4 linked regions of the Kluyveromyces lactis genome follow. The main gene of each other region encodes a partner of the protein of the gene in region 4 in a complex. Links are inferred from orthologs where the notes say so. Each region holds a gene or a part of one and is shown on either strand. Other genes may lie near its edges.

Region 1 (8,452 bases), on a different chromosome or scaffold from region 4:
GTCATCCCGCATTTCTTTTCCGGTTTTCCACTTTTCCTGTGGGGAAAATAATATTGTCCTCCCCCCACATGAATTGTTTGAAAAGCGGCGTGAATGAAAATTGCAATTGCCTAGCCCAAATCCATATCCAGTATCTGATCCGTATCCTCACTACATTCGAATTCGAGTTTTCCGCCAAAAATTCATCCCAACAGTACTAGAGATACCTCTAGTTCTGAACAATGTTTTCTAATTTCTTGATCATCTTTTTTTTCCATCTTTTTTTTTTTTTTTTCTCGTTTTTTCTTCGGAACATATTATTTTTTGCTACAAGTATACAAGTTACATACAAAACTGGCTGGGAGTGCTTTGAAAATAAATTGCTACTGGAAATAAACAAAAATATATGCTGCGGGGAAATTTGAGGCAAGGGTATTTTCCTTTTGGTTCCAATTATTCCAGCCATGGAAAAATGATATATATCATCGAGGACCACTGGCAAAATCTACTGCGGCTTTCTTACTGTAAGTTTACAAGTCCGCATATTTAGTTTGCTCTTTGTTCATGAAGACTCGAAACTCATCTGATCTTGAATGCTCGAACTACTATGGAATCATAGCAATAGTATCTCCGTTGCTCCAGCCTTCGACATAATCGACGGTTGCGTTTCAGCCCATTCGCGTGGGCTGGGCTATTGCAGCCTCATCTTCTCATAACCAGCCATAATTCCTCCTTAGCTCTCGAAGAAGATCGCTGGTGCGCTGGATTATTTCCCACCTGATTAGGTGTTTCTAATACGTAATTTAGTTTCATTTTCTTTTTTTTTTCCTATGCGGTTCGTGTATTTTGCCGTGATTTCCTTTTATGAAACTGGGAGTCTGCTTAAAAAACAACCTTAATATTCACTTAGGCTGACTCTATTCATTCAAGCAAAGGCAGTAGTATAGTCCGGCTCCTTTCATCTCTGGCTTTTGCTTGGATCGTCTCGCTACTGCAAGCAAATAGTGATTGAATTTTTTTTGATTCATTTTTGCGTTGGAGACTATTATTAGTCCCTGTTAGTAGCCGGTAGCGCTTAACACCACTGCAAAATGAAAACTGGATTACTTCCGTCAACGTTAGCTATGTTATTTACACGGCTTCACGGAGAACCTGAATTGAAAGACAGTATATATAAGTAGGCTCTGAAGTATATACTTTTCTCAAAGATCGTGTTGTCATGGCTGTTAATACTTTTACGTCAAATATTTTTCCATGATCTTCCTCCCATATAAAAAAGGTTCATAACAACCAAAAACCTATAATAGTTTTGAGAGGGTTTATCCTCATATAGTTTTTGCATTATAAAGTTGTTTTGTTTTTCCTGAATTTGTCTTAGAAAAACTTGTACAAAGGCCATTAACCGATTTACGTGAAGAGGTCTTGAAGCAGAATATTATTGAACAGATAGAGAAAGATTGTTAGTATCAAAATAGTCATGGATAATAAAGAGGTTAAGAGTAGTCCTTCAGTTGAGGATGTTAACTCATCTACCAAGAAGAGTGCTGATCTGTCGAATGCAGAAGTGACCAGCTTTCATGAGGCAAAGAGGAAATCTGCCGGTGGTGGTGTTTTCGTTGCGATGAACGATGACAGTTCCATTTCTAGTATTGGTGAAGATCCAGAAGGAAGGGATCCGAATAGTGTGCAAGAAGAAAATATATTGGCTGAATATTCAGAAGAGCAGGTTATGAACATGGGACGTGCTTTTGCTAAGAAGTACGAGTTGCCAAATGATGATGATATTTTCGCTCGTGGTGCTGCTTTGGCCAGAAAACCAAACGAATACGACAGGTTAAATGTTCTAAAGGAAGATGAACGTATTGCTTGTTACGATGAAATTCATCATCCTTGGAGAGTCCCTCCAAAGTTGATTGCTATTATCGCTGCCAGTGCAATGGGTGCTGCCGTGCAAGGTATGGATGAAACTGTTATCAATGGTGCTAACTTGTTCTACCCTAAAGAATTGGGTTTAGGGTCAGGATCCAAGAGGGACGATTGGTTGGAAGGTCTTGTTAACGGTGCACCTTATCTATGTTGTGCTGGTGTCTCGTGTTGGGCTACCGATTGGTTGAACAATATGTTTGGTCGTAAAAAGGTTATTTTCATCACTTGTGCTATCTCTGCTATCACCTGTTTCTTACAAGCTTTCGGTCCAGCTGGTACTCCAGGGTGGCACTATTTGTTTGCCATGAGATTTTTGTTGGGTTTTGGTATCGGTCCTAAGAGTGCTACGACTTCCGTTTACTTGGCTGAATGTTCTACCAAAAAGTTACGTGGTATCATCTGTATGAACTGGCAAACTTTCACTGCTTTCGGTATCATGTGGGGTTACGTTTTCTCTTTGATCTTTTACAGAGTTGGAAGAGCTGGTATTGCCGGTGGGTTGAATTGGAGATTAATGTTAGCCAGTGCTATGATTCCTGCTATTTTAGTTTTAGTGCAAATCCCATTCTGTCCTGAATCTCCCCGTTGGTTAATGGGTAAAGGTCGTTACAAGGAAGCTTATGAATCCACCCTCCAGATTAGAAATCACAAGATCCTAGCTTGTCGTGATCTTTTCTATCAACACGTTTTGTTGATGGAAGAAAACTCTTTGGAAATGTCTTACTGGACTAGATTAAGGGAAATCTTCACTGTTAGAAGAAACAGAAACGCCTTGATTTGTGCCTTCATTTGTGCCTTCATGCAGCAATTCTGTGCAATTAATGTTATTGCGTACTATTCCTCTGCCATTTTCTTGCAATCAGGTTTCACTGAAATTTCTTCATTGTGTGCTTCCCTAGGCTTCGGTTTAATTAACTTCTTCTTTGCTATTCCTGCCTTCTTCATGATCGACAGATTTGGAAGAAGATTCCTTCTATTAAACACGTTCCCATGGTTGGCAGTATTCCTTTTGATTACAGGGTTTTCTTTCTGGATCGATGATACAGAAAAAAGAATCGGTGTTGTTTCGATGGGTATTTACGTATTCTCTGCCATTTACTCTTTCGGTTGTGGTGTGGTTCCATTCGTTATCGCTGGTGAAGTTTTCCCCTTGTACGTCCGTGCCATTGGTGCATCTCTTTTCACCATTGTCTTGTGGGGTTTCAACTTCATTCTATCTTTAACTTGGCCAAGTATGCTACGTGCCTTCGAGCCTCAAGGTGCCTTCGGTTTCTATGCTGCTTGGAACGTCATCGGTTGGTTCTTAGTCTACTTCTTCATGCCTGAAACAAAGCAATTGACTTTGGAAGAATTGGATGAAGTGTTTGATGTACCATTAAGGGTTAGAGCCAAGTATCAACTATTGGAATTGTGGCCTAACATTCAAGAAAACCTCCTAAGAAGAAAGAATGTTAAGAGACAACCACCACTCGATAAACACCACAGAATGGCCATCAAGGCTGCCGAATGGAACGAAAAGGCTGAGGCTGAAGAATTGGAAGTTACCGAGATCTAAAATCAACTCAACACTTAATATTTTTATGTCAGTAGAAATATTTTTTGGTAGAAATTAACCTCCTTTGCATGATAAAGCTAGCTCAAACTATCATCATGTCATCGCTTTTCACACTAATTGATAACTTATCAAGTAATAATATTGCGAATTAAAGAGAATTTGAACAGAATGCCTGGTGTATTTAAATTCACTCTAATTCCCCTTTGTCTTCCTCTGTTTAATAGCTTAACTGTTGAACTTTCAATTAAGTAGATATTTATCTAGCTAGTTAGTAATGTTTTAATGTGATATTTTAAATGTAAGAAACAAATTTTAAAGTTCTAGCTAATATCTTGACATGTTGAAATAAAAGTGAAGAAGTCATGTAGACCAGGAAGTGATTGCAAACATTAATGACTATACTTACCAAAAATCGAATCAGATGCATTAGATGTGATCATGGGAAACGCTTGAGATGCTCCTAAAGTGTTCAAACCAAGGCTTTATGCAGCTGCTTCTCACGTGGAAACTTAGTCACTAATCACGATTTGATGTTTACGTTTATTTGATGTTTTGTAAACATTGAAGGATCGGGACGCAGTATTCAGATCCATTTAAAGCTGTTCAGGAAAACAGAGGCAAGTCAGGAAACGGGATAATTGTGAGCATTATTCAGCTGCTTTATCAAAGCTACCTTGGTTAGGTTTTCAGGAGTAGCAATGACTACCCAATTACCGTATGACGATGATGACAACGGTCTTTTCACGAATAAGTCCACTATGATGGCTAACTTTGAAGAATGGATCAAAATGGCCACGGACAACAAAATCAACTCAAGAAACAGTTGGAATTTCGCATTAATTGACTATTTTCATGACTTGAACGTGTTGAAAGATGAGGAGGATAATATTAATTTCCAGAAGGCTTCGGCGACGTTAGACGGTTGTGTGAAAATCTACTCTCATAGAGTCGATTCCGTCGCTACTGAAACAGGGAAGTTACTAAGTGGATTGGCAGAACGGAAAGGGAGGCAAATTAGATCCAATACAAACGGAGAGAACGATGATGGAGATGAGGAAGATGATGACAGTCTAGAGGTAGATCCTTTAACTGGTCTGCCGATTGCCCGTGATGACCCAGAGACTCTCGCGAAAAAAAAAAGGACGTACAATAGAGTGTTAGAAACGACGTTAGTTGATTTTGAAAGTATACGACTGAAAGATTTAGCACAAAACCTAAGTATAGATCCGTTGTTCAAGAAGGCACTCGCCGATTTTGATGAGGGTGGTGCGAAGAGCTTACTTATAAACACGTTACATGTTGATGAAAAACTCCGAGTTGTTTTTGACGCAACAACGACTGAACCTGAACAAGAACAACCGCAACCATTGGCCTCTACTGAAAGTCAAGTTCAGGAAGAAAATAATGAAGTCAGCGAATCAGCAAAAGAGACCTCGGAGGTATTTGGCTTGGATTCAGAAAAGGGTTCAGCAAATGAGGAAAATGTAGAATCAACCCCAGATACATCAGTCACATTGCTAGAGGATGATATATTAGATCTCGGTGTCAAATTCTTAGATTTTAATACTATTGAAACCTCAATATTGTGTCCATCGATGGATCAGCTCCAAAGTGCAGTAGCGGATATTGGAAAAGCAAAGTCATTTGTTGAAGGAGTGAATGGCCAATCTGATAAATTCTTGACAGAAAAAGATCTAGAGACCCTTCCTGAACTCGATGCGGAGGCAGAGTTCAACTACGAAATGCCACCAGAGGATGGTGAGGATGTTGCTGTTGATGCAGGTTCTATGGACTACGTTGAGCCAGCGGATAACATTCACGAACCAGAAGAACAGCTGGCCCTATCAAATCAACAGAATATGTCACAAATAGATGACAAATCGTATGGCGATGCGAGCGTACTCGATCAAGAGTTACTATCTTACTTTGACGCAGCGATAGGTCAGAATTGGAGGGGTAGAGAACACTGGAAGGTACGAAACATCAAGGATAAACTTAGCAAGGAGTCTGTGGCCAAACCACAGCAGCCAACTGAAGCCGATGGGAATCATGAACCAGCAGTTGAAAAGAAGGTACCCAAAAAACAGTTTGAGATTGATTTCTTGGATCTGAATGATAACATTGAAGAAGAAATATTTGCAAATAAAAAGGGGTTCATTGATCTATCAGTGAAACAAAGAACAAATGATTCACATTTCTTACTACCGGACGACTATAAATTCACAACGGATAAAATCACAAGGCTCTTCATTAAGCCCGAGCAGAAGATGAGTTTCTTTTCACACAGGAGGATCAGTAAAGCCAGGTTACCTGGGTCCCTGAAATTTGATGATACCGAAATCAAAGAAGTGAGTAATATTCCGGAGATTGCAGACGAACGCTTTTGGGCTGAAAACTATCAACTGCATGAAAGGGAAGAAGAGCACAAGCAAGATGACACACAGATAGAAAGATCAACCAATCCATCGTTTGAAGAGGATAACGGCATTGACTTCAACCAAGCCTTCGAAGATGAAGATTTGGATATGGATACAAAAGAAGATTTCGTAAACACGCAAGGATTAGTTGCAAATAATAAAATGACCTACTCCAGAACCTCCAAAAAGGTAGATGTGAGAAAATTGAAGAATAATGTGTGGAAGTCAATATGGCAACGTTTACATGTACTGAAGACAGACGAACAAAATGGGGAAACTACTCGGAATGAGGAAACTACTCAGAATGATATCGAATCAGAAGCACATCTGACCGAAGAGAAGCAGGGAAAGCAGGATATATCAGCAGAAATATCAACAAAAGCAGAGGGCTATGACTTGAAATTCACCGATATCGCTCACGATATCGTGAACATGTACACTTCAAGTGCCAAAAAGGATCTCTCAACCAGTTTCTGCTTTATCTGCCTTCTTCACCTCGCTAATGAGTATGGATTTACGATTAACGACACTACAAACTACCAAGACTTGGACATTCGGTTCCCTGAAAAGATTGCAGACGCAATTATTGGCAAGGAGTAGCCGAACTATAGCCGACGTAATTATTTTGTTTGTATATAGAAGAGTATTGATCACGTGATGTTCGTCTAAAAAGACCTCGTTCCTTTTTATTTTTCTGGCACTTTCGAATCGGATTTCAGCTGTTACGTAGAGTTTCTCCCTAATGAAATGCAACGCCACCCGGACGAGCGTTCATCAGCTTCCAAGAATTTGTTGATAATGTTGAAATTTGAGTAAATTGAGCATTTGTCAAATTTAAAGGTTTTTATTTTCTTTAGAATGAGGATATATATGGCTATGATTATTCGGGTCATTTAGAAGGCAACGAAAGAGGCAAAAGGCTTTTAAGAATAGTGAACAAAGGAAGCAACGAAAAAGTTGTATATACCAGCTCAGGTACTTTGAAAAAATCACTTTTACGGTGTACTTATTAAGTGTTAAAGGCTAGATGACGCTTCCGGTGTTGATTGGTGTTTCTGGTTTGTGCGCCAAGAACGCTTCTCGAGTGTTGATTCGTCAAGCCCCTGTCTTGACAGGGCCAATTTTAAGGACTTTGCATAGAAAGCATTTTCTTACAGGCAGCGTGCTACAAAACAGATTATATTCGGACAAGAACCAAACAGGCAAGGATCATAATGGTGTTACAGGTTCTCAGCATTCGGAGGACTCGAAGAACACTGTAAATGGGGCAACAAGTGGTGCAGAAAATGTTCAGCAGCCCAAGCAACTAAACGGGATTAATTCGAGTGATATTGATCCGGCAAATGGACCTGTATCACACGCTGTTTTGGCTACTAAGGAACAGCAAGCTAATAAAGATTTGTCTAACCCAAGTGCGCAAGCGGAGTTCTATAAACTTCTCTTGAAATCGAACTATCCGCAATACGTTGTTTCGAGATTTGAAACTCCTGGTATTACTTCATCGCCTGAATGTATGGCTTTGTATATGGAAGCTTTACAAAGGATCGGTAGGCACGCTGATGCTGAGTCTGTGAGGCAGACTTTGTTGACGACTGCTCCAGCTGGAAGTATTCCTCCTGCCGTGGCTTCATCTGGTGCTTCTTCCGCTGCATCGGCTAACGGTGCTGCTGCCCAAGTTACTGGAGGTGTTTCATCTGGTTATTCTGGCATCTATAATCCGTACATGGGATCCAAAAAGGAACCTCTACATGTTGTTGTCACTGAATCCACATTCTCTATTGTTTCCAGATGGTTAAAATGGTTGATCGTATTTGGTGCAGTTACATACGGTTTGACTGAAGGTTTCAAATACATTACAGAACATTCAACCCTCTTCAAGACAAATGAAGTCGCCGATAAATCTGTGGATGTTGCAAAGACTAATGTAAGATTTGATGACGTGCGGGGTTGTGACGAAGCTAGAGCTGAATTGGAGGAAATTGTCGATTTCTTAAAAGATCCTACCAAATACGAATCCTTGGGTGGTAAGTTACCTAAAGGTGTTCTATTGACCGGACCTCCAGGTACTGGTAAGACTTTATTGGCAAGAGCCACCGCCGGTGAAGCTGGTGTTGACTTTTTCTTCATGTCAGGGTCAGAGTTTGACGAAGTTTATGTAGGTGTTGGTGCCAAGCGTATCAGAGAGTTGTTTGCACAGGCCCGCGCTCGTGCCCCTGCTATTATCTTTATCGATGAATTGGATGCTATTGGAGGTAAGCGTAATCCCAAAGATCAAGCTTACGCAAAACAAACTTTGAATCAATTGTTGGTTGAATTGGATGGGTTTTCCCAAACAAGCGGTATAATTATCATCGGTGCCACTAACTTCCCAGAATCATTGGATAAGGCTTTGACAAGACCAGGTAGATTCGATAAGGTCGTCAATGTTGACTTACCTGATGTTCGCGGGCGTGCTGACATTTTGAGACATCATATGAAGAAGGTTACTGTTGCTCCTGATGTGGACCCAACTATCATTGCAAGAGGAACCCCAGGTCTTTCTGGTGCTGAGTTGATGAATTTAGTTAACCAAGCC
Region 2 (8,281 bases), on a different chromosome or scaffold from region 4:
GCCATTTCACAGCAGCCTTGGTAACGTTCCCCGATGCCTTCAGGCTAAACGATGCGAAACAGTTTGCAACACAAGAGAAATTTAGGGGCAAACAGATAAACGTGAAGAACGCATTTATAGAAAAGATTGAAGAAGTGCAAAGGGCTTTAGAGAAGAAGGCGGGTGCTAACACTAATGGAGAGTCCGCGGAAGGCAACAACGAAATCCCAGCAGATGCTGGGGTAACAGGAGATGAACCTGATACAGCTAATGCTGTTGCGGCAATTCCTATCGAGGGAAATCCTCAACCACAAGCTGACGGTAATGACGGTGCTGTGGTGGAGCCCGAGGCCAATGCCGAACCGCTTATCGACCAGGAAGATGGTGTGACAGCATCGCAGGACAATCCATTACTTAATTCAAATGCAGAGTCTCAATTAGAATCTCAACAACCTGTAGAACAGGTCGCAGCCTAATACACATACTACTAGCATTACTACTTCTATCAATTATATAACTATGGTTTCATAAACAACATGCTTTTCTACGTAAAATGCAACAAAACAGTCATCGGGCGATCAGTCAATCAGTCAATAAATTCATTAGTGACACATTCAACATCAGCAAGTACACAATAACAGATTATGTGACTGTTCCACCTTACATCCGTACCTCAATGTATTTTATATATTTTTGGAATTTGGTTATACATTATTACTGTTTAAGGTAATACACATAAACTTTTTCAGAAAAACTTACACAAGGCAGTCCAATTGTGGTAAGGCTGGGTGTCCTGGGCAGACGTCCCCCTGCCGATATTCCTTTCCTCTAAGACTGAGCCGTTCTGCCAGGGGGAGCTGAGACACAGAGTCTCTCTGTCCGGCTTTCCTAGTCCTGCCCAGGAAACTCTCCCTCCAGGCTGGAATTCAGATTCACAGAACCAATGCCTAGGCTGGGACCAGAGTTTCTGCCCAGCCCCTTCGGTTCCAGTACATGGACCAATTCTGGCAAATGGTGAATTTTCAATATTGTAGGTATAGTTATTGAAGAAAGAATTAAAGATCATTCATTGAAACTATATGGTAATACTGCTTTGCAATAGTATTTTGTGTTACACTTTATTCTTATTGCACTGATACTGTCCAACCAAACCGAAGTAAACAATGGGTATGTCTATTACGGTGACATAGAGTTATGAGGATTTGAAAGCACTGAATTAAAGAAATGGCCATCATTTTAAGAACGAATAATGAAATATAGAATAATGTTAACCAGGCACACACCGGCCATAATTAAACAATGCAAAGAGCGAATATGATATGTTTTGAGAGTTGATGATTGAATTACTGTTAGCGATATGCAATATATGTGTTAAATCTACCAAAGAAGATGATTGGGAATTATTACGTCAATATCATTGGGAAAAAGAGATTTAAACGATACAGAGAGCAGAGGAAGAAACGACAATAGCTGGCATGGGATCAATGATAGATCTGGAATTATAATGAGTGTCGATTCAGATGTGGTTCAGATGTTTTTTCAACAATTATAATAAGAATTTTTCAGTTATACTAACAAGAATTATCTTTCAACAATGGCATGAGCATTTTGCATATCCATTGTCGATTGTCAGTTTCAAAACAGGTAGAGTTATTAGAAACCAAAGAAAGGGTGCTGGTTCTATCTTCACCTCTCACACCAGATTGAGACAAGGTGCTGCCAAGTTGAGAAACTTGGATTACGCTGAACGTCACGGTTACATTCGTGGTGTTGTTAAGCAAATCGTCCACGATGCTGGTAGAGGTGCTCCTTTGGCTAAGGTTGTCTTCCGTGACCCATACAAGTACAAGTTGCGTGAAGAAACCTTCATTGCCAACGAAGGTCTCCACACCGGTCAATTCATTTACGCTGGTAAGAAGGCTTCTTTGAACGTTGGTAACGTTTTGCCATTGGGTTCCGTCCCAGAAGGTACTATCATCTCTAACGTCGAAGAAAGACCAGGTGACAGAGGTGCTTTGGCCAGAGCTTCCGGTAACTACGTTATCGTTATTGGTCACAACCCAGAAGACAACAAGACCAGAGTTAGATTACCATCTGGTGCTAAGAAGATCATTTCTTCTGATGCCAGAGGTGTCATTGGTGTTGTTGCCGGTGGTGGTAGAATCGACAAGCCATTGTTGAAGGCTGGTCGTGCTTTCCACAAGTACAGAGTCAAGAGAAACTCTTGGCCAAAGACTCGTGGTGTTGCCATGAACCCTGTTGATCACCCTCACGGTGGTGGTAACCATCAACATATTGGTAAGGCTTCTACCATCTCCAGAGGTGCTGTTTCTGGTCAAAAGGCTGGTTTGATCGCTGCCAGAAGAACTGGTTTGTTACGTGGTTCTCAAAAGACTCAAGATTAGATTTAAACAATCTCCATATGTTTAGGTTTATTGTTGTATAAAAATAATTTTATTAAATGTCATTTCAAATCTGTGTCTGAAGAACGATGTGGATTCCAATAGTATACAAAGCTTCAAATTTCAATATAATTATTAGTAAACTACTTCTACATACCGTTTTTTAATCATTTCATCCTTTCGTCATATTATCACAGGCTATTTTTGAGCACTAAGATCCCCATCGTCTCTGCAATGTATGTTTTGCCTTTGTCTGTCTTCCCTCATTATTTTATGCAGATTTGATTATGAGAATTTCAACATAAATAAAGATTTGAAATATGTAAACAAAAGACCTGATGAGATCAACAAAACAAACACAAAGGCGAGTCAAAAAAGTGAATCCAACCCTGTCAACGCTTGCTGTGAGGTTACATATCTGCTGCTTTAGATAACCCGGTGATATCACAATGAAAGTGGAAGAACTTATCATCGATGGGTTCAAGTCATACGCCACAAGAACTGTCATTACAGATTGGGATCCTCAATTCAACGCCATCACTGGTTTAAACGGGTCAGGTAAATCGAATATTTTAGATGCGATATGTTTTGTGTTGGGTATTTCATCAATGGCAACCGTTCGTGCTCAAAATTTACAGGATTTGATCTACAAGAGAGGTCAGGCTGGGGTAACGAAGGCCAGTGTTACCATCGTATTTAATAATAGCGATACCAGTAATTCACCAATTGGATTTGAATCGCATGCGAAAATCTCAATCACTAGACAAATCATACTCGGCGGAGTCAGTAAATATCTGATCAATGGTCATAGGGCCCAGCAACAAACCGTGCTTCAGTTGTTTCAATCGGTGCAATTGAATATTAATAACCCGAACTTTTTGATCATGCAAGGTAAAATTACCAAGGTTTTGAACATGAAGCCGCAGGAGATTCTTTCGTTAATAGAAGAAGCCGCTGGAACAAGGATGTTCGAAGATCGACGGGAAAAGGCAGAAAGAACTATGGCTAAGAAGGAGACCAAATTACAAGAAATTAGAACTCTTTTGACTGAAGAAATTGAACCAAAACTCGAGAGATTCAGGAATGAAAAGAGAACGTATTTAGAATTTCAAGAGACTCAATCTGATTTAGAAAATGTGATGAGAGTGGTAAATGCATTTGAATTCAGTCAACTCTCAAATAAAAAGAAACATATAGAAGAAAGTTTACATTCTGGTCAAAGTAGACTCGAAGAGTTGGAGGATACAATTTCTAGGTTAAAGAACGAAGTCGAGAACTTGGGAAGTGATTTAGACGCTCTAAAAGAACAGCGGCATAAGGAGGTTCAGTTAGGTGGTAGAATGTCGGAATTGGAAACTAAAGAATCTGAAATTTCAAATGAGCTTTCAAGGGTGCAAACAAGTTTGAATATCGCATTAGAAGATTCGGGCGAGGAAAAGGTAAGGATCAGTAACTTGAAGAAAAATATTGAGAGGTGGAAACAACAGCATCAGGAAAAGAAAACTCTATATGACTCGAAATATAAAGAGTACAATATTCAAAACAAGAAACTTGAGGAACTGAAAGCCATTCATAAAGAAAAGCAAGAACTACTCTCAACTCTAACGACTGGTATCTCGTCTACCGGTACCACTGCAAATGGATATAATTTTCAACTATCCACCATCAAAGAGAAGTTACAAAACACTAGAATTGAAATAAGGGAGAAGGAAATGGAAGTGGAAATGCTTAAAGAAGAGCTCAATTCAAATACTCCCAAAATTTCTGCTGCCAAGGCTGAAAAGGAAAAATACGATAAAGAAATACAAAACATGCAACATCATTGTAATAATCTCGAAAAACAACTTGAACAGTATGGTTATGATCCAATACTATTGAAAAATCTAAAGGATAATGAGCGTTCCTTAAAACATACACACTATCAATTGAGCCAGGAAACAGAATCCTTGCATAGGAAGGTCTCAAACTTGGACTTCAACTATGTTCCACCTTCAAAGAATTTTGATGTCTCGTCTGTTAAGGGAGTTGTCGGACAATTGTTTACCCTTGACGAAGCAAACATTGATAGCTCTGCAGCTTTGCAGGTTTGTGCAGGTGGAAGACTTTTCAATGTTGTGGTAGATAACGAAAGAACTGCTTCACAACTTTTGGAACATGGTAGGTTACGCAAACGTGTAACAATCATTCCTCTTAACAAAATTTCGTCACGAAGAATCAACGAGTCCATCTTGCATTTAGCAAAAGAATTAGCTCCTGGAAAAGTGGAATTAGCTATAAACTTGATTGGATTTGAGGAAGAAGTCACGAGAGCCATGGAATTCATTTTTGGAACAAGTTTCATTTGCAGAGACGCTGAGACTGCCAAACAAATTACATTTAATCCAAGAATCAGATCTAGAAGCATAACATTACAAGGTGATGTCTATGATCCTGAAGGAACACTTTCAGGAGGAAGTAGGAATTCTTCAAATTCACTACTACTTGATATTCAGAAATATAATCATGCATCATCGAGGCTCAAACAAGTTGAGAACGATTTGCAGGAAGTCGGCTCACAAATCAAAGACCAGCAAATGAAAGCTGAAAACTCAAAAAATGTGTTATCCGAATTGAATTTAGCCACACATAAGCTTAAGTTAGCTGAGAAGAATGCACATGCTAGCAACGCAATGCAGCTATTTAACCGTAATGAAGAAATTCTAACTCAATTGAAAAACTGTGAAATGCACATATGTCAGTTGACATCATTGACCAAAGAATACGAAACTGAGATAATAAACATTCAAAGAGATATGGAAGAATTCAATAAAGACAAGGGTTCAAAGCTCAGGCAGTTAGAAGCTAATCTCTCTGAAGTCTCTGCAGAAGTGGAAAAATTAGACACTGATACGGCTAAGCTGTTTGATGAATATCAGAACTTGAGTTTTGACACAGAACAGCTACACACAGATATTTCTAACGCCCAAAATGAAGTATCAATTGCAGAGAAAAGGCTTGCAGAACTGGAAACAACGTGTAATGAGTACGAGGGCGTTGTGAGGACCAAAAAGTCTGAACTTCACGAAGTACACAGTATTTTACAAGAGGAAATGTCCAGACTTTCAGGAATGGAAGATGAGATATCAGAACTAGAGTTATTGCTTAAAAATAAGAACCATCTACTTTCAACTTCGGAAGTGGATTTACAGAAGATTACAAACGACTTGCATAAATACAAGAATAACACTTTTGGCATCGATCAAGCCATTGAAAATTTAATCAACGAAAATGATTGGTTGGAAGATACTTCCATGGTCAATAGCATCTTGACACAGAATAAGAACATTAATCTAGATCAGTACAAGAAACGTGGTTCCGATTTAGCCGAAAGCTTTCAGAGCTTAAGAAGGAAGGTGAACCCAGAGGTAATGAGTATGATTGAGAGTGTAGAGAAAAAGGAAACGGCATTGAAAACAATGATTAAAACCATTGAAAAAGATAAGCAGAAAATTCAGGAAACTATCGAAAAGCTTAACGAATACAAACGAGAAACTTTAATAAAAACATGGGAGAAAGTCAGTGTAGATTTCGGAAATATTTTTGGCGATCTTCTCCCGAATTCATTCGCCAAATTGGAACCTTCAGAAGGTAAAGATGTAACCGAGGGATTAGAAGTTAAAGTTAAATTAGGTAAAATTTGGAAAGAGAGTCTGGTAGAACTCTCTGGTGGACAGCGTTCCCTAATTGCGTTATCATTGATCCTTGCATTGTTGCAGTTCAAACCTGCACCAATGTATATATTGGATGAAGTGGATGCCGCATTAGATTTAAGTCATACTCAGAACATTGGTCATCTTATTAAAACCAGGTTTAAAGGCTCCCAATTTATCGTTGTATCGTTGAAAGAAGGTATGTTCACTAACGCTAACCGGGTGTTTAGAACTAGGTTCCAAGATGGTACATCAGTAGTTAGTGTTATGTAATGATTCTCATATACCAAAATAAATAGATTGATAAATAATAAACAGTATTCAACGAAACACATAAAAAAATCAGTAAACTTCTAGGATATATCTAGAAGTTTCCTTTAAGTCTTCAATGGCAGCATCCAAGTCAACGTTGATGCCCTTCTCCTTCGCATCTGCAGCAATAATATCTTGTAGAGCTTGAGTGATATCAGGAACAGGCCACGTTGGACCACATAAGTAGAAGGAACCTTCATTGTCAATCATTGCAGTCTTCAACTCTGGCAAGTTTTCTTTGATACGATCTTGGATGTAAATCTTTTCAGGTTGATCTCTGGAGAAAGCGGCACCGATGTGAGTGATAATTCCAGCATCCTTATAAGCTTCCCATAATTCACCGTATAAATATTCTTCTCTCTTGTGTCTAGAACCCAAATACAAATAGACTTCACCGATTTCATAACCTTGTTGTCTTTGCCACAATTTTTCTTCTACGATAGCCTTGAAAGGTGCTAAACCAGTACCTAAACCACTCATAATAACTGGTTGCTTTGGAGATGGTGGCAACTTCATAACACTTGGTTTCACAGATACAACAAGTTCAGAACCGATAGCTAAATCAGAAATGAATTTTGAAGCTTGACCATATCTCTTTCTTCCCTTATTATCAATCCAGTCCACAACGACAATCAATAAATGGACTTCGTTAGGGTGGATTCTTTGAGAAGATGCGATAGAGTATTCTCTTCTCTTCAATGGGGCAATTATTTTCACAAGATCTTCAACCGATGGTCTGGCTGATGGGAATAACTCGAAGATATCGGCATAAGTATAGTACTCGACATCTTGTAAGCGTTTTAATTCAGTAGCACCGGCAGCAGAAACTAAGTTTTCTAGCTTACTCTTCTCTTTGTCGTCAGTACAAAAATCGATCAAACTCTCGTAGAAGCGCTTTGGTGGTTTACCGAAAATATCAAGATTTTCGACGAAGGCTTGCAAAACGGTTCTTGACTCTAAGTAGTGATGGTCATCCTTATTTGGTACCTGAACAATGTCACTTTCATTCAAACCATAGTACTGCAAGAATTTTTGCACATTCTCCAAGTTGTTTTTTGCATGAACACCCAATGCTTCACCAATATCGTAAGTCATTCCTGTCCCAGAAATGTCAAACTCAATATGGAAAATGTATCTATCATAGTCATCTGGAGTGACACGTCTGTTCTCCTTAACTTTAACGACATAATTGTTAACGGGCAAATCAGGCCTCAATTGTTGTGACACTCCGTAAGCTTCTTGGAAAGTCAACTTCTTTGAAATTTCAGCGATCTTAGCAATTTCAGTCTCTGGTACTTCTTCGGTAAATCTCTGGTTTGCAGAGAATGAGGTTTCAGTGACAAAAGTTGGTAACTGATGGATTTCTTCTTCTTTTACTTCTTCACCCTTAGCTTTATCTTCAATGAATGTAGCGTAAACTTCATTTGGAATGGCCTTCACGCCAGTTTCAAGGGCAGTACTAATGGTATCAGACAACACAGCAGCAAGTAATTCGATATCAGGACCTGCTGAGTTCCAGATACGACGAATGATGCTCTGTTTGTCATCGTTAGTTGCAGCACTCCAGAAGACAGCTTGAGTGACGAAGGACAAAGTACGACCTTTAGTTTCCTCTCTGTCACCAATTGTTTCAACGTCGATCAATGTAACATTGATCTTCTTTTCAGCAACAGTGGTTAAAAATGCTTCGTTAATTTTCAATTCATCAGTGTAGAACTTCTTATCCTTTAAATCCTTATCAACCAAAGAGCTCTTCACCAATACAATGATGGAACCTTCTTGCTTCACAGTGGAAGCTACGTCATAAGCATTTAAAATGGAAATGTCTTCGACAACAATCACATCGGCAGAGTCGATATTAGAAACAACACTTTTCGACTTTGATGGATGCGAAGTGAA
Region 3 (8,464 bases), about 120 kb from region 4:
ATGGGAATTCAGAGGATTACGGAAGTTCGGAACAATTGTGCAAAGCGCGTTGCATGTGAGAGAGTACTAAAGAACACTCGAGAAGCGACCTGTAATGAGCGCATTGCAGATACTCTACCCTCCTGAGCTTTGCTCCATCAAGTTGTCTTGTTTTTGTGTATATGAGTATGTGTGGTTTCTCCGTATGTGAAATATAGGGGTACTTCATAGAGGCAGGAGGGGATCATAGTTTTTTTACCCGGATTTGAATTTCCGCTACTAAAAAATAATACCGTAGCAGTAGCAGTTTCATTTGATATCACGTGAGCGTTTGTGAAATTGAACCTATGCATATATACTCTATATACACGAAAGCCGTGGTTGCGATCACATGGTTACAACCACTGTTGGTAGCCAAATCTGTTCTTGGTGCACCAATCGAGCCCGTGTTCTAGATATTCTTCTCTTGTGACCCTTGCTGAGCGGAACTGATCCGAGTTGGCAAAGTCTTTCATGCTTTCCCATCCGTGTAGAGATTTGTCCTTTTCCTGGGGTGAATGTACTTTGCAGCTCCAGTCTATCGGACATTGTCTTTGTAATTCTGTTTGTAATCGCTCGTGGAAGTTTGGAATGTTAAAATTGCCTCCGGTGCATACTATATTGGCAACAAGTAATGGTCTGACGACTTCGGGACACATGTTGATGCATTCTAGAATTGTTTCGACGATTCCTGGTTTTAAAATCTGTGCAATTTCAGGATGAAAGAACGTTTCTGGTACCGAGAAGACTTCATCTGTGAGTAATAAGGTCTGTGCATCATCCGTGAGCTTTTCTTTACCTGGTTTCTTAACGTACCCCAAGAAACTCGTTTGGAAGTCCGGTAGTACATACTCGACCTTTGTGTTCATTTTGTTGTGGAAACTTGAAAAATATGATTCAGGGGGAACAAAAGTACATTGCTCCTTGATGTTATTTACAAGTATTGTCTCTTCCATCACATTGTAATGCCTAAACGAAATGGTTTCCTGTAATAGGCCTGTTAAAAATCTGCCACCGATGTCGAGTTTCTTGATAGCTTTGTAATACGGTACTCCCTTTATTATAGGAACAGCCCATGTGCAGTTAAACCCCGAGTCTATAACTAATTGGAAGTCCTTGTATGAACTAGTTTTCTTGTCTTCAGCAGCGGTCATTGCGTCATCTTGATATTGACCCTGGTAAAAAGGAATATATTGTGCTACAGGTCCTTTGAACATAGATTTGAAATCATATTCTTCGAATATTACCTGGTCCATGTTTTTCGAAAGCTCTGGTATCGTCATGAGCGTCTCACTTACTACTAAATGATGATCTTTAGTGTCATTGTCGTGTGTCAAGTTCCAATGGAAGTCGTCCTCGTTGTAAAAACAGTAATCCCATACTTCACTTTCTAATTCCCATGATACAAGTTGACCCAATTCGTGAGGCCTTCTTATTAAAGCCTGCGATATATCCCGCATTTTCTTCGTTTGATTTGAAAGGTGGAAGCGAGAGTATTTGTCCTTGGTTAAGCAGTTTAACGCTCGCAGTGGCTGATCCCATCCACTCTCACCAAATTTGATTTCATACGATCCGTTATCGATCACCAATACAGGCTCACTCATTTTAATAGATGTATGATTATATTATTCCCATTAAATTATCCCATATAGCCAATTTGGCAAATCATCAGGACATTCAAAGAAGCGCGCATGCAGATTGCCTGTGTTTTTCTGTAGTAGTGCTACAATTTTTCTTCATTTCCTTTTTGTTATTTTTCAAATTTCATGTTTTGAAAAGATTGTTTGTTTACCAAACAATCATGATGTAAACCAAAGAACTTTTAATATTCTATCATGATGGCGATGGCGATGGCAAACCACCACAGCCAACGAGCACCTCGACCTGTAAAGCTATTATTCTGGTTGCCTCCTGTAGCTGCACTATAGCTTGATTGATATGACTGCAGACAGTTCTGTGCCGCATCTGGGAGACTCACCAGAAATAAAGAGGCAAAGAGTATCACAATCGCCAACAAGGACGCCAAGGAAGTTGGTTTTGGGCTCACCTGAAAAAAAATATGCCGTCTCTAATTCACAGGCTACTACTGCCGCTTCTAATACAATGGATCCACCGAGTCTGCAACCTCCTACGGCACATGCTGTACGAGGGCGCGAATACAGTCAGTCTCCGCCTAGGTCTCCTACGCGATCACCTACTAGATCTCCGACAAGAAAGCTTGAATTGATCAGACTTTCACCCAAAAAAAGTACACGACTTGAATTACAAAAGATGCACGAGGCCAATACTCAGACCTCACAGCGATTATGCATTGATAAATTGGTTTTGAATAATTTCAAGTCGTATGCTGGTATTCAAGAGATTGGACCATTCCACACATCATTTTCTGCAGTTGTTGGTCCTAATGGATCAGGAAAATCTAATGTTATCGATTCAATGCTTTTTGTCTTCGGTTTTAGAGCCAATAAAATGAGGCAAGGGAAACTCTCCGAGTTAATTCACAAATCTGAGCAGTTCCCGAGTCTGGCATCCTGTTCTGTCCAAATTCATTTTCATTACGTTCATGATACAGATAATGGTGAAACCAAGATTCTTCCATCGGCTGGTACAATGGTGGTTGAAAGAAGAGCATTCAAAAACAACTCTTCAAAGTACTATGTTAACGGGAAAGAGAGTAATTATACTGAAGTAACAAGACTTTTAAAAGAGGAAGGAATTGATTTGGACCATAAAAGATTCTTGATTCTTCAAGGTGAAGTGGAATCGATTGCCCAGATGAAGGCCAAGGCTGAAAAGGACAACGATGATGGACTTTTGGAATATTTGGAAGATATAATTGGCACAGCTAAATTCAAACCGCAAATCGAGAAGTGTCTAGAAGAGATAGAAACTTTGAATGAGGTTTGCATGGAGAAAGAAAATAGGTTCGAATTGGTAGATAAAGAGAAGCAGAATCTTGAATCTGGCAAAGAAGAAGCACTGGAATTTCTTGACAAAGAGAGAAAACATACTATATTAAAGGCTCAACTACTTCAGCGCCAAATTTATGACAGTAACCGTAAATTGGCAACGAGCTGTGATAAAATATCTGCGTTGAACATGGAATTTCAAGAGGAAAAGAGTCAATATGAACATTTACAAAAGGAAGCTGAAACCCTGACACATGAAATAAACAATACCAAGAAAGAAAGCACCGCATTAGAAACTGAATCTAAAAACGTGAATTCAAAAAAACGTTCTTTAGAAAAGGATTTTATTGCCACAGATGAAAAACTTAAAAGTATTGCAAGAAAATTAAAGGCTGCGGAGAAGGCATTCTCCCAATCGGAATCCAACGGTAAAGCAGCAGTCAATGAAATTGAGTCGTTAAAAAAGAATCATGATGATTGTGAAATAGAACTTCACAATCTCAATCACTCTATCAGTATTGAGAAGGAAAAACTTAATGAAATCAAAATTCATTTGCATGAAAAAACCAAAGATCTATCGCAGGAGATGGAATCCTTGGAAAGACAGTTAGAACCTTTTAGGGATCAGATACAGGAAAAACAATCTGAAATTAAACTTTCAGAAACAAAGATCACAATGTTGAAATCCAGTCACAGTAATTTGCTGAAAGAAAAAGCTACCATTGAAAGTAAGATAGAAGATCTGCAACTTGAAGAGCTGAAACAGAAAGAGACAGAAACTTCTTTACGAAACGAAAAATCCAAGGTCGAGGCCAGGATATCCACTGCTCAAAAGGAGTGTGAAGAAGCCCAAAAACAAACGAATGAAATGCGAGATGTTTTGATTCAACAACGACAGATTGTTGAAGAAGCCAAAGCTAACCTCAATGGGTTCCAAAACAAAAATAGAGTCCTACTTGCTCTTACAAAATTGCAGAATTCAGGACGTATAACCGGCTTTCACGGGAGGTTGGGAGATTTAGGCACGATTGATGATCAATACGATATTGCTATATCAACCGCTTGTCCCAGGTTAGACGATATAGTTGTAGAAACTGTGGAATGCGGGCAGCAATGTATAGATCACTTGAGGAAAAATAAGTTAGGGTATGGGCGTTTCATTCTCTTGGATAAATTACGTAAATGCAATTTGGACAGAATAGCCACTCCTGAAAATGTACCTAGGCTTTTTGATCTTATAACCCCTGTCCGTGATTTATTCCGACCTGCATTCTACTCAGTTCTCAGAGATACGTTAGTTGCCAGGGATTTACAGCAAGCTAATCGAGTAGCCTACGGGAAAAGAAGGTTCAGAGTGGTCACGTTGGATGGGAAATTAATCGATATTTCCGGTACAATGTCAGGAGGGGGTTCTTCTCCCCAAAGTGGCTTAATGAGATCAAAAGCTACTACGGCAAGTCAATATTCTCGCGATGAAGTGGAGAAAATGGAAGTACAACTTTCAACCAAAGAAACTAATTATAGGTCAGCTCTATCGATGGTCCATGAGATGGAATCTGCATTACAAAAGTTAACAGATCGTCTTCCGGAGATTGATATTCAGATTTCCAAAATACAACTTGAGAAAGGATCTCGGGTCGCTGAGGTGGAATCCTATCACCAACGACTATCACAGCTTGCTAGGGAACTTTCTATGAACGAGAAGAATCAACAGCCACTGTTGGATGAAGAGAAGAAACTAGATATTTTGAGACAACATTTGCAGCAAACAATTGATGCTTCAAAGTTTAGCCAAGATAAGATTGATGATCTCAAGGATAGAATCATGCAGAAAGGAGGAATTGAGCTCAAGATGCAAATCGCAAAAGTTGCCTCACTTGAACAACACATTGAAATTTTACATGAAAAGCAGAAAAAGGAGAAGACCAGAAGTAAGAAGCTTGACATTGATCTGGCTAGAGCGACTAGGGAAAAGAACAAATATTCGGAAGAAGTTCTAGTCTGTAATAAGGATATTTCAATACTTTCCGAACAATTGGAATCAATTCGACTGGAAAAGGAAAGAATTGAAGAACAAGTAATCGAAAACAATGAAAGAAAAGCAGAGTTGAACTCTAGCGTGGAGAAATTGAAACAAGAGCTTCTTTCTATTGAAAGAGATTCCAATGAGTTTAAAGCAAAAGAATTAGAGTACTCAGATAGATTAGAGAAGTTGCATGGGCTACAAGAGTATGTTAAAAAACAGCTGAGAAGTTATGAAACCTCACTACAAAGTCTTAAAATCAGAGACGTTTCCAAACTTTTAAGTCAATTGAATGACGGAATAATTGAGTCATGCACAGATGTAACTGCTAAGGTAATGAATGGTGACATAGTTCAAACGCAGTCTATCACAGATGTCGGAAATAATGACGCTATGGAAGATTCTGGTGAAGCTGCAACCCACAGCGGGTTACCAAGTTTGACGGAAACCGAGTTGGAAAATCTCGATTTAGAAACTCTAGAACTTGAACTTCATCAATTACAAGACTACTTGGATAACTTTAACGGAGATATAGAAGTACTAGAGGAATACGCACGCAGGCTTGCAGAATACCAACGTCGAAAACTAGACTTAAATCAAGCAGTTGCCAAAAGGGAAGAAGTAAGAAATAAGTGTGAAAGTTTCAAGAATGAGAGACTAGAGAAATTTATGGAAGGTTTCGGCATCATATCTATGACTCTAAAGGAAATGTATCAGATGATTACCATGGGTGGCAATGCAGAGCTAGAACTTGTTGATAGTCTTGATCCCTTTTCGGAGGGTGTATTATTCAGCGTCATGCCACCTAAAAAATCTTGGAGAAATATCTCCAATTTATCGGGTGGTGAGAAAACTTTGAGCTCTCTAGCATTGGTATTTGCTCTTCATAAGTACAAGCCTACACCCTTGTATGTTATGGATGAAATAGATGCTGCCTTAGATTTTCGGAATGTCTCGATTGTGGCTAATTACATCAAAGAACGAACAAAAAATGCTCAATTTATTGTTATCTCACTAAGAAATAACATGTTTGAGTTAGCTCAAAATTTAGTGGGAATATATAAAAACAACAATATGACTAAAAGTACAACCCTACAGAATATTGATATTTTACATAGTTCCTAAATTATCCCCTAATGTACGATTGTACTGATCTTCAGCAACATAGATTAGCTTCTGTAATGGAACCACTATCAATTGATGTGCCATACCAGGGAATCTTTTCCTGTTAACTCCAAACCATTCAATAGGCGGTGTAGCATTTCCTAGATCCCTTAAAAGTGGCATCTCGATGTGTGGCTCTTCCAAAGGAATATATTTATATTTTGTGCCAAGATTCACAATTTTGATCTTTTCAGCAATGTTTTCGTCTTCGAAAAAGGGCTTTGATGGAGATGGCTCAGTGTGACCTCGTCTTACAGATAATGCACGTACATGGGTCGCCCACATTTCCCTGATGAAGTTAATTGGGTCGAGATTCCACTTGATATCGACTTTATCCCCAAAACTACTGGAATACAAGAACTCAATGTCTGTGTCAGGGATTTTCTGCCAAGTGGTAATTCCAACAAATACTGAGGGAGCCGCTAGAATTATGTCTCCTTCTAAAAGAGCAGCTTGTCTGTTGTACTCTTCGACGCTCAATTCAGCAAACTGCTCTTCAGTTAACTCATTCTTAAACTGAGCCAAACTGATATTTATGTCGCGTATTTGCCATGTTAGATCTGTTTTCGTTTTTTGCTCAGTCTGAGTTGCGGCTTCAACATTCATTTTATTTGCCTTCAGCACCAATACTTCGCTATCAAATAAAGTACTTGGAAAAACATATAGCCTGAAAGATCCTATTTCAGCAGTCAAATTAGTTCTTAAACGAAGTGGCGCCAGTAATTCATTATTTGAGAAATGAATCTTTCCCGAACTTTCAGGATTTGATTCCTTTAGGGTCTGTACGTAAGACTTTTTATTTTCGATCCTCATTCTGGCAAATGTTGCATAGATATCGTAGAGATTAGCAGAAGCCAAAGCCGTTAAGAAAATATTAACGGATCCAAATGACATGGATACAATTAACAAATCTTTCAATAATCCACTTTCATCCCTCTCGTTACGAATAGCTAATTGCAAATCCGACACACGAGCGATTAAAAAAGAGTGGTAATCGAATCCAATTTTTGAAGACAGGTGGCTCATTTTGAAGGCTAAATTTATCAAAGGCGCCTCGAATTTATTGTCTTTAACCGGCCAGCTTATACTAGAGTCAAAAAATATGTTTTTAATTTCAAACAATCCACCTAAACGACCATCAGACTTCGAGTTTAATTCATCCAGATAAAAGCTGACAGAGTGAGACCAATCAACTCTGTGGTGAGACGATATCCAAAATGTAGGCACTTTGAAATTAATTGAACCTAGCGATGGATCCATATCAATTACAGCTGAAGTGTTTTTGAAGATTATTTGGTAAATCCACGGAATTTTAGGAGTTGTGAATTCGGTCAGAGCTTGAGGTTGGCATTTTTGCCCAGAGTGTGGTCCAGATCCTAGTTTCTGAGCTTTTTTAGTCTTTGGAGACCATATGTCAAGAAATAAAGTGATCTCTTGCAACTGTTTCATATTAACGTAAAATTTCATGTCGGATATCAGAGTATTTCCATATGTTTTGATGGTGTTTTCGTGTGTTAACATAAAATCAAGATATACTTCATTTATACCCGCTGAAGAACTGATTTCACGAGAAAAAATATGTCTGGTACTGATTTCAATTTCTGACCATTGTAGTGATAGAGACAGCGGTTCGGAATGATCTGGTGAGTCGGTAAACATCGAGATTCTGAAGTTACTGAAGCCTAGGTCTGCTTGAATTTTTGCTCTTGGCTCACATGTCAATGTGATATTTTGAGCTCCAACGTTTATCACTATCGCTGTGTCAATTTTTTTGAATAAATTTTTGTAGTCGAAAGAAATGCGCTGAGTATTAGTTGTCTGTTCTTGAGTTTTATGGACCAATTGCTTCTTTTCAGAGTTAAATCTTTCCATCTGTTTCTGGATTTCTGTTGTGAGATTTACTAAAACTGGAACGCAGGATGAAAACAAAATGTTGTGAGTTGATTCAACATTTACTAGACTTCTGATCCAATGCTGCTTCTGCGAAGGGAAGTTGTGCATATAGTCCAAGGAAACTTCTATTGATGGACTAGTGAGCTCTAGCGACGATTTGGGAGAATCTTGTGCAATATCATCGGGAGTGTAAAGATTTATTATACCACCTCCATATTTGGCAATACAATTTATTGAACGAATTGAAAGGATTGAGACTTTGTCACTTAAATTCTCAGCCACATTATGTGTTGATATCGAACTTTTCTTAATATTACTGATTTTTGCCAGCTTCTTTTGAAAGCTCTCTATTGAAGACCTCATAACGTTTACAATTTCTACCGAAGTTGTCAGTATTCTGACATCTAGCTTGTCTGCGTTCATTCGAACAAACAAGTCTTTTTCTATGAATTGACCA
Region 4 (8,347 bases):
TGCTTCATCCAAAATCAAGATATTACTTGAAATCAACAAGGCACGAGCCAAGCACATCAATTGCCTTTGGCCTACACTTAAATTACTACCACCTTCAGTAAGCATGGTCTCCAAACCATTAGATCCCATACCCAGTATGTGATCCTTCAAGTGTGATAAAGCCAATGCATTCCAAATTTCTTCATCGGTATACCGATTAGTAGGATCGATGTTTTCTCTCACTGTGCCTTCAAAGATTTGAGAATCCTGCGGGATAATCGACAATCCATGTCTCAAATCAGCCAAACCTATAGAATCAATTGGGATACCATCGATCACAATATGACCAGAAGCTGCCTCGATAATTCTGAAAAGGGCAAGTGTCAAAGATGACTTTCCAGCACCTGTTCTACCAACAATACCAATTTTCTCCTTTGGGTGAATATGTAAATCAATGTCCTTCAAAATCAATTCTAGTTCTGGTCTGTAACGGGTACTGTAGTTCACAAACTTTATTTCACCTGATTCTGGCCATGATGCTGGTGGCCTATGGTCTTTAATAATATATGGTGCTTCGCTCTTCAATTCTGCATACTCTTTGATTCTTTCAACACTAACAATATTAGTTTCTACTTCCACAGTCATTCTGACAATCCAATTCAACGATTGAGTGATTTGCAAAGCAAAACTCAATGATAGACCAATCATACCAGCAGTTAGAGTTCCATTACCAAGTCTAATAACAGCCAACATAGATGCAGCCAATATGATCACGGATCCGATAAATTCAAGTCTAAATGCCAACCAACGGTTAGCATTGACACTAGGATAGAATGCGCTCATATTATTGTCAACTCTGGTTTGGTTGATATGTACAAAGCGGTTCTGTTGAGAATACCCACGGATGGTAGTCAACCCCCCTAAGGTCTCTTGGAAGTGCGCATAAATGGGTGACCTAGTAACAGAATCCAACCGACGCAATTCTCTTGAGGTTCTCAAGTAGTACTGTTGATAATAGATGTACAATACACTCAATGGTAACACAATAAAGATAAATTGCCAAGTTGCCATGCAAATAACAACGATGGTGAAAGAGACCTTAACAACATTTGCAAAGAATTGAGCAAACGTTCTACCCAAAATTTCATCTACCTTATAAATATCATTCGAAAACCTGTTTAGAATTCTTCCAATAGGAGTTGTTTCAAAGAAAGACATAGGTGCCTTTAAAACACTTGAAGCCATTGCATCATGTAAATACTTGGAGCCATGGATAGTACAGAATACCCATAGAACAATAGTCTGTATTAATGTTGCCAGAGCGGAACCAACACCTAAAGCTAAGTAAATCATCAAATATCTTGTGGCATGGGGGTTATAGCCTTTCTCAGTATTGACTTCTGACCAGTGTTTGAGCCAGAAATTACCAATGACGGCCAACAGCATCGAGAGGATTAGGAAACCCAAAAACACACACACGTTGCGGGGGTTACACGCACGGGCGTACTCCATATAAATATCCCATTTGACTTTACCTTGTTCCCTGTGTTCTCTTCTGGCGCTATTTTCATTGTCATCAAAACCAATTGAGCCTAAGGTTGCCAAAGAAGCTCTTCTTAGAGATTTTAGGTCTTCAGCTTCAGATAAGTTTTCGGTGTCCAACTGATTTATATCTACGGTAATTTCAGAGATCTTTGAGTCTGAATAAGATTCAATTCCTTCCGACGCTAATTTTGCCAAGGAAGTAGTAGATTGGGAAGGAGTTGGTTTACCCTTCTTCCCAAACTCGGCAATAAGCTTCGATAGTGGAGAGTTTGTTGACTCATTAACTTGATCATAACTTCCCTGCTGAATGATTTCGCCGTTTTCCATGAGAGTAATGGAGTCCGCAATGGAGAGAACAGTAATTTTATTTGTTGCTAACACCTTTGTTTTGGAATGCAACAAACCGTGTGGACCCAAAACGTGTTCAATCAAATGTTTAGCGACATGCTCATCTACAGCAGCGAGAGGATCGTCCAATAAGTAAGTATCAGCACGAGAATAAACGGCACGGGCTAACGATAGTCTTGCTTTTTGGCCACCAGATAAAGAAATACCTTTTTCACCAACTAAAGTCTGGTCACCATCTGGCAACATAGAGAGATCAATACTCAAAGCACACGCTTTTATAGTCAGCTGGTAAAATTCTGGATCATACTTGTGACCAAACAAGATATTATCTTTAACAGTACCATTCATAATCCATGGAACCTGTGAAACGTTGGCGACGTCACCGTGAACAGTTGCGAAACCCTTCACTCTAATCAAATCTCCTAGTAGACTTTGAATAAGTGCACTCTTACCACTACCCACTTTCCCCACGATACATGTTAGTTCACCTTTCTTGGCAACAAAATTTATGTTTTTCAAGGCAACTTTATATTCAGGTTTGCGTTGCCATAAGAAAGTTGCATCGTTGACTTTAACACCTTCGTCACCAATATTCTTTACTTTTGGTTCACGTAAAACGGCATCATTTTGCAACTCTTCGTTAGTCAAAAATGCAAAGAGTCTATTTATGGACACAGATGCTTCAATAAATGAAGAGATTGCATTAGGAACAACAGCAAGAGGGAATGACAATAAATTGAAAAGAGTTAATGCAGGGAAGACTAGATCAGTGGATAATGGTCTTTCCTCCGTGTATACGAAAACAGCAAAGGTAGAACATGACACAAGGAAAGGCACGATATTGAACTGGAAATTAGCCAATGCTAATGTACATCCCATTTTCTTCAAGTTCTTCAATTCTTTCTCGTTCCTGACATGATCCAATTTGGCCTTGTATGGGATTTCCCACCCGTAAACTTTCAAGGACTTAATATTGTTCAAGATTTCGGAAGTGACTCTAGTTCTTTCATCTTTGTTCTTCATTTGAATTTTCTGCAATTTTTTTTGTATCCTCACAATAACAGAATTTATAGGGATCATGACAATCATAATGATAACACCAACCCACATGCATGGACCTAAAAGCTTGTATAGAGAAACCAAACACAACACAATTTGGAATGGGCCGGACCAAATAATTTGGCCCCATTGAGTTAAATCCTGTAATCTTTGAACATCAACACTCATTAAATTAACAATATCACCGGTAGATGAAGAAGCCGATGCTTCATTTGATAGAACAAGGGCCTTTTGATAGATTACAGATGTCAAACCACTCTTGATATTCATCCCCGTATCGAAAGCGTTCAAGAAGTATTGATGCAAAATGGACGTTTGAACTACACTTACAAAGAACATAGCCAAAGATAACATGACACCTTTGACTAAAGGAAGTTCTGGCTCAGGTGTGGAAGTATAATCTGAAACGAACTTGATCAAAATTCTTAACAATTGAGGTTGGGTGAATTGTAAAATATCATAAGCAACTTTGAAAGTACCACCTAAGAGTAATTTACCACCAAACGTAGTTAACATCGCCCAAGATAAAGATGGATTGGCCTTGTGTTTCAATTGATACTGCCAGCGCTCGCCGAATTTCTCGGAGATTTCTTTTGAGCCGAAACTTTTTGGCAACTTGTATAAATCCTTCTCAGTCAAATATTTCTTGTAACCTGTTTTCATCAATTCTGTCATCCAACTGAAACTTAATCTTTGGAATATATGGGCTGAGTCCACTGGATTACGTTTTTGCTTAGAATAGGATTCTATGACTCTCTGATAAGAAGGCAATGGCTTTTCGAATAATGATTCCAATAGTAAAATCATCACAGCAGAGATGGTCTGGAACACAGTTAAAATGTACACGGAATATGACACGGGCAATTCATGTTCATCACCGTAAGCATGTCTGATACTGAAGTTAATCCATTTGGATCCTTGAAATAAACTTTCGAACAACCAATAGAAGAGAACTACCCCGTTAGAAATCCTTGATCTGTGGTACTCCACCCAATGTAACATTAACGCTACAAATATGGATAAGAGAGTTAATGTATATTGGGAAGTTAGTGTTACACTTTCATGTTTTTCGCTAGAATAGTAAGCGGACATTGAAGTGAATAACAAGAAACACCCAACTAACCCGATTCTTGAGAGCAACAACCAATCATGTTTGTATTTCACCCCTGGATGCTCAGCTTTACTCAATTTAACTAACTGATAGGTACCAAATATTAGCATGAACAACGCTGCAAAATTCAATAGTACACCGTCAATAAAGCAAATGGTAAAGTCTCCGAAGTACGATATAGGACCGAACCCCTCATCATCACGGCATAACCAGCATGCGGTGCTATTTCCAGAAACAGCTGAAATCATTTCTGAAACCGAAACCGTTTGAAACATTTCGCAATCACCCGTGGGACCATAAATTGTTTTAATGAACGTACCAGTCTTCTTGTTTAACCTTTTTTTTTCGATTAAGTGGCATTTTATGCTTTGTCTTATATGCTGTTCTTTTTTTTTGGAATTTCTTGTATCTGCTTCGTAGTATTACAAATATAATAAAACTGACTTCCAAACACTAGAAAATCTGTTCAAGTTCAGCTGCTTATTTCGGAGCTGAGCCATGTCAAGCTATTTACTTTCAAACGACTACTGAGCAATTGGCTTGTAGACGCACCAATGCGTAGATAACTACTCTTTGCAATATCTTTCCTCCGGTGAACAACTTGGCCTAGTGCATTTCAGCCCTAGACAAATATGGCTACACTCATTTCGACATGTTTCCAATAAGGTGGTTTCGTGGTCTAGTCGGTTATGGCATCTGCTTAACACGCAGAACGTCCCCAGTTCGATCCTGGGCGAAATCATTTGTTTTTTTAATTTTTTTTGTTTTTTAAACATTAGCAGTTCCCGTGTTCTGCATTTGTTTACGTTTTCAGACTTGAATTTTAAAATCAACAGTAACAATTGCAATTAATCACGTAGACCTTACAAATGAAGGTGCTCATCGGTAGTTTTTCTTACTCCCTTTAGATTCATTACCATCTGTTTTGATCTCCGAGATACTTAAAGAGAATCAACTAAATACTTCATGGTCTAAATCGTTCAAGTTGTATCCTCTAAAAATGTCAAATTTTCAGCTCACGGAGTATCTTTCCTCGTTCCAATCCACAGATAAATCATCATACGGAGCCCTTGAAGCACCTGGTTCCACTCTCAATCAGGTAACGGATGTTTTAGCTTTAAATTCAGAGTATGAAATAGCAGATGAAATCTTTGAGACACTAACAGATTTGACTCACTCGTATCTACATTTGAACTATAATGTGAAACAACAACTGGTATATTTGGTGTCCTCGTGCCTATCAAACTTATCAGCGCTGATCCAATCTAACTTTCAAGTCGATGAAGAGGTATTGCTCTCATGGAAGATCAACCTACAAAAACTTGGATACCTGGTACATGTTTTGTTGATTTTCATTCAAGATGATTTGTTAAATCGAACTCAGCAACAGCAGCAACAGAAGAAAGAAGAAACAAAGCTATACTCCTCATTACTCGAAATATTGCTACCTAGTATCATAAAACTTGCACAGATACCACAGCTACCGAAACTTTTCGGAACCTTGTTGGAAAGAGATCTATTCATTGGTCTTTTCTTGAAACCGCTTTTCACGTTAGTCGAATGTGAATCGCTAATCAAGATAAATCAAATCACCACCATGATAATTAGAACCATAGCTATATTTGTGAAAAATGACAACCAATCGCAACTAGTACAAAACTTCATTATGGCCAATCTAACTTATTTTCCTCAACTTACAAATTTTAACGCAGAACTATTGACCTATATCAATGATGAGTTCGACTATCCTCAACTTACCGAGGACATCTTGAGGAATATTAGTAACAAGGAGTTTAACGCGAAAGATTTGTCCGGACCAAAATCTATATCTAACTTTTTAATCAAGATATCTGAGTTATCCCCCAGAATTGTGCTGAGGCAAATGACGTCAATTATAAGATTGTTGAATAACTCGTCATTTACATTGCGTTGTTCAGTGGTCGAAGCATGCGGAAATATTGTTATAGACATTGCATCTGACCCTGATCTATACCAACATTATAAACAGCAAAATGACACTTTAATTGAACTGCTTGAAGAGAGATTCCAAGATTCGAACCCTTATGTCAGGTGTAAAGCTATTCAATCATGTGTGAAAATATGTGACCTCAAAATTAAATTTAACTACCATAGACTGTTAATTACTTCCTTGGCGGTACGATCTTTGCAAGATAAATCATCATTGGTGAGAAGAAATGCTGTGAAATTGTTATCACAGTTGTTATTAACACATCCATATGATCAGATGCACGGGAGTCAATTAAAGTTACGTGATTGGAAGCAAAGACTGCAAGATCTAGAATCACAGAATTTCGACCCTGACGACGAAAAAGTGAAACTAACTCGCCAATATTATAAAGATGCCATCTCTTTTATTGACTCGTTGCATAACGCTATCGAACTCTGTGTGCCTTTGCTATTTTCTCGGAATAAGTCTGAAGTACTAGAAACGATGGATTTTCTTGTATTATGTGATGCTTTCGACTTGGAATTGAGTTATATTGGTGTCAAGAAAATGTTACATTTGGTTTGGTTCAAAAACTCTAATGATGAAGGAACGAACATTGCGGATCATTTAGTTTCTTGTTATAAACAGCTATTTCTTACCACTCCTGACCATTTTAACTATAAAGAAAGGTCCGCATTCATAGCTAACAACTTAATTAAGTTGACACTCGATGCATCCATATCAGACCTTGCCTCACTAGAAAGACTAATAGGATTAATACATGACAGCAAATTGATTGATTATAATGATATCAATGCGCTCTGGTTGATATTCCAAAGTCTGTTAACTGGAGGGCGGATCGGCACAACAGAATTTTCCTCTTCTCAAATCCATGGTGCAATAACTGTGCTAGGAATGTTGGCTCTTGCTGATAATGAAGTTGGATTACACGGCCTCCCTTTCATTTTAAAGGTTGGATTCGATCATGGCAATCTACCAATAATCAAAATGACTTGCATCGTTCTGCAAAGAATGGTGGCACCTGATCACACTGAAATTCCACACCAGGAGGAAGTATTGAAGAACCTTCACAATCTCGTCATTTCATCAACTGATGACCATGATTACTACTCAATGTGTGAGCATGCAATTAACGCAATTTTCGAAATTTCCGAAAGACCCGATATTATTTGCAATACCTTAATAAAGGAAAAGACTATGATAACTTTTGGCGAGCTTCGTAATAAGAATATTGAGCATTCAAGATCCCAAGCAATTGTTGAGTCTAGACTTGCTTCTCTTTGTCAGTTATTATTCATTGTGGGACAAGTGTGCATTAAGGTAATAGTATTTCTAGAAAAGAGTGAAGCAAAATTCAAAAAATCCAAGATACAATTCGAAACACTGAAATCGGCAGCTAATGAAAACAATAATTCTGATCCTGATGCTTCTGTTGGAAATACCACAGAACAACAAAAGGAATTGGATCTCATCGGAGGTACTAACGAAGATGATTTCTCAGATGCGATTCAATATATTAAGGAAAACGAGCTATTATTTGATCCCAATTCCTTACTCTCTAAATATGGTCCATTGGTGGAGGAGATTGTTACAAACTATGATAAATTTAATGATAAGTATCTCCAGAGAAATGCTGTTTTGTGTTTGACAAAAATGATGTGCGTCTCATCTAGGTTCTGCGAGAAATATTTATCGCTTCTAATTACAATTATGGAGAGATCACCCGATCCTATTATTAGATCAAATGCTGTTCTAGGGCTTGGTGATATGGCTGTTTGCTTCAATAATCTGGTTGATGAAAATACAGATTTTTTGTACCGCCGTTTACATGATGAAAACCTCATGGTTCAGAAAACTTGTTTGATGACTGTGACATTTTTAATTTTAGCTGGGCAAGTGAAGGTCAAAGGACAATTAGCCCAAATGGCTATTCTCTTGGACAACTCAGATCAAAGTATAAGTGATATGTGCAAACTCTTCTTCACAGAATTATCAACCAAGGATAATGCTATCTATAATGGATTTATTGATATTTTCAGTGGTCTATCCAACGACGAGAATTTGAACAAGGACTCCTTCAAAGTGATCATAAAATACCTTCTAACGTTTATTGACAAAGAGCGTCACCAAAAGCAACTCAGTGAGAAATTGCTGGGCAGGCTCACTAAAGCTGAAAACCAGAAACAATGGGATGATATTGCTTTCGTGTTAAACCAGCTACCGACAAAATCCGAGAAGGTTCAGGAAGTTCTGGAGGAAGGATTCAAACTCGTTAGTGCTAGGGAATGAGAAGTAGTCCGATACCAAGCTAGAACTGTGAATGCTTTGATGATACA

Evidence for each region.
Region 1: YCS4 (region 4) and BRN1 share a complex: the UniProt entries of both Schizosaccharomyces pombe proteins name them as parts of the condensin complex. The link is inferred for Kluyveromyces lactis from reciprocal best matches to the Schizosaccharomyces pombe genes cnd1 and cnd2.
Region 2: YCS4 (region 4) and SMC2 share a complex: the UniProt entries of both Schizosaccharomyces pombe proteins name them as parts of the condensin complex. The link is inferred for Kluyveromyces lactis from reciprocal best matches to the Schizosaccharomyces pombe genes cnd1 and cut14.
Region 3: YCS4 (region 4) and SMC4 share a complex: the UniProt entries of both Schizosaccharomyces pombe proteins name them as parts of the condensin complex. The link is inferred for Kluyveromyces lactis from reciprocal best matches to the Schizosaccharomyces pombe genes cnd1 and cut3.

The regions. Positions count from the first base shown.
Region 1 is NC_006041.1:607,949-616,400, reverse strand, and holds BRN1 (condensin subunit BRN1), read left to right. Parts: upstream 1-4,158; coding exon 4,159-6,477; downstream 6,478-8,452. Other genes in the region: KLLA0_E06755g (sugar porter family MFS transporter), read left to right, coding at 1,457-3,460; i-AAA protease YME1, read left to right, coding at 6,905-8,452. UniProt on the Schizosaccharomyces pombe protein: Regulatory subunit of the condensin complex, a complex required for conversion of interphase chromatin into mitotic-like condense chromosomes.
Region 2 is NC_006040.1:1,344,554-1,352,834, reverse strand, and holds SMC2 (condensin subunit SMC2), read left to right. Parts: upstream 1-2,830; coding exon 2,831-6,343; downstream 6,344-8,281. Other genes in the region: RRT5 (Rrt5p), read left to right, coding at 1-455; KLLA0_D16027g (60S ribosomal protein uL2), read left to right, coding at 1,143-1,146, 1,624-2,384; MET10 (sulfite reductase subunit alpha), read right to left, coding at 6,413-8,281. UniProt on the Schizosaccharomyces pombe protein: Central component of the condensin complex, a complex required for conversion of interphase chromatin into mitotic-like condense chromosomes.
Region 3 is NC_006042.1:1,756,155-1,764,618, forward strand, and holds SMC4 (condensin subunit SMC4), read left to right. Parts: upstream 1-1,956; coding exon 1,957-6,075; downstream 6,076-8,464. Other genes in the region: ARP6 (Arp6p), read right to left, coding at 375-1,622; CSF1 (Csf1p), read right to left, coding at 6,061-8,464. UniProt on the Schizosaccharomyces pombe protein: Central component of the condensin complex, a complex required for conversion of interphase chromatin into mitotic-like condense chromosomes.
Region 4 is NC_006042.1:1,869,020-1,877,366, forward strand, and holds YCS4 (condensin subunit YCS4), read left to right. Parts: upstream 1-5,042; coding exon 5,043-8,300; downstream 8,301-8,347. Other genes in the region: ATP-binding cassette glutathione S-conjugate transporter YCF1, read right to left, coding at 1-4,317. UniProt on the Schizosaccharomyces pombe protein: Regulatory subunit of the condensin complex, a complex required for conversion of interphase chromatin into mitotic-like condense chromosomes.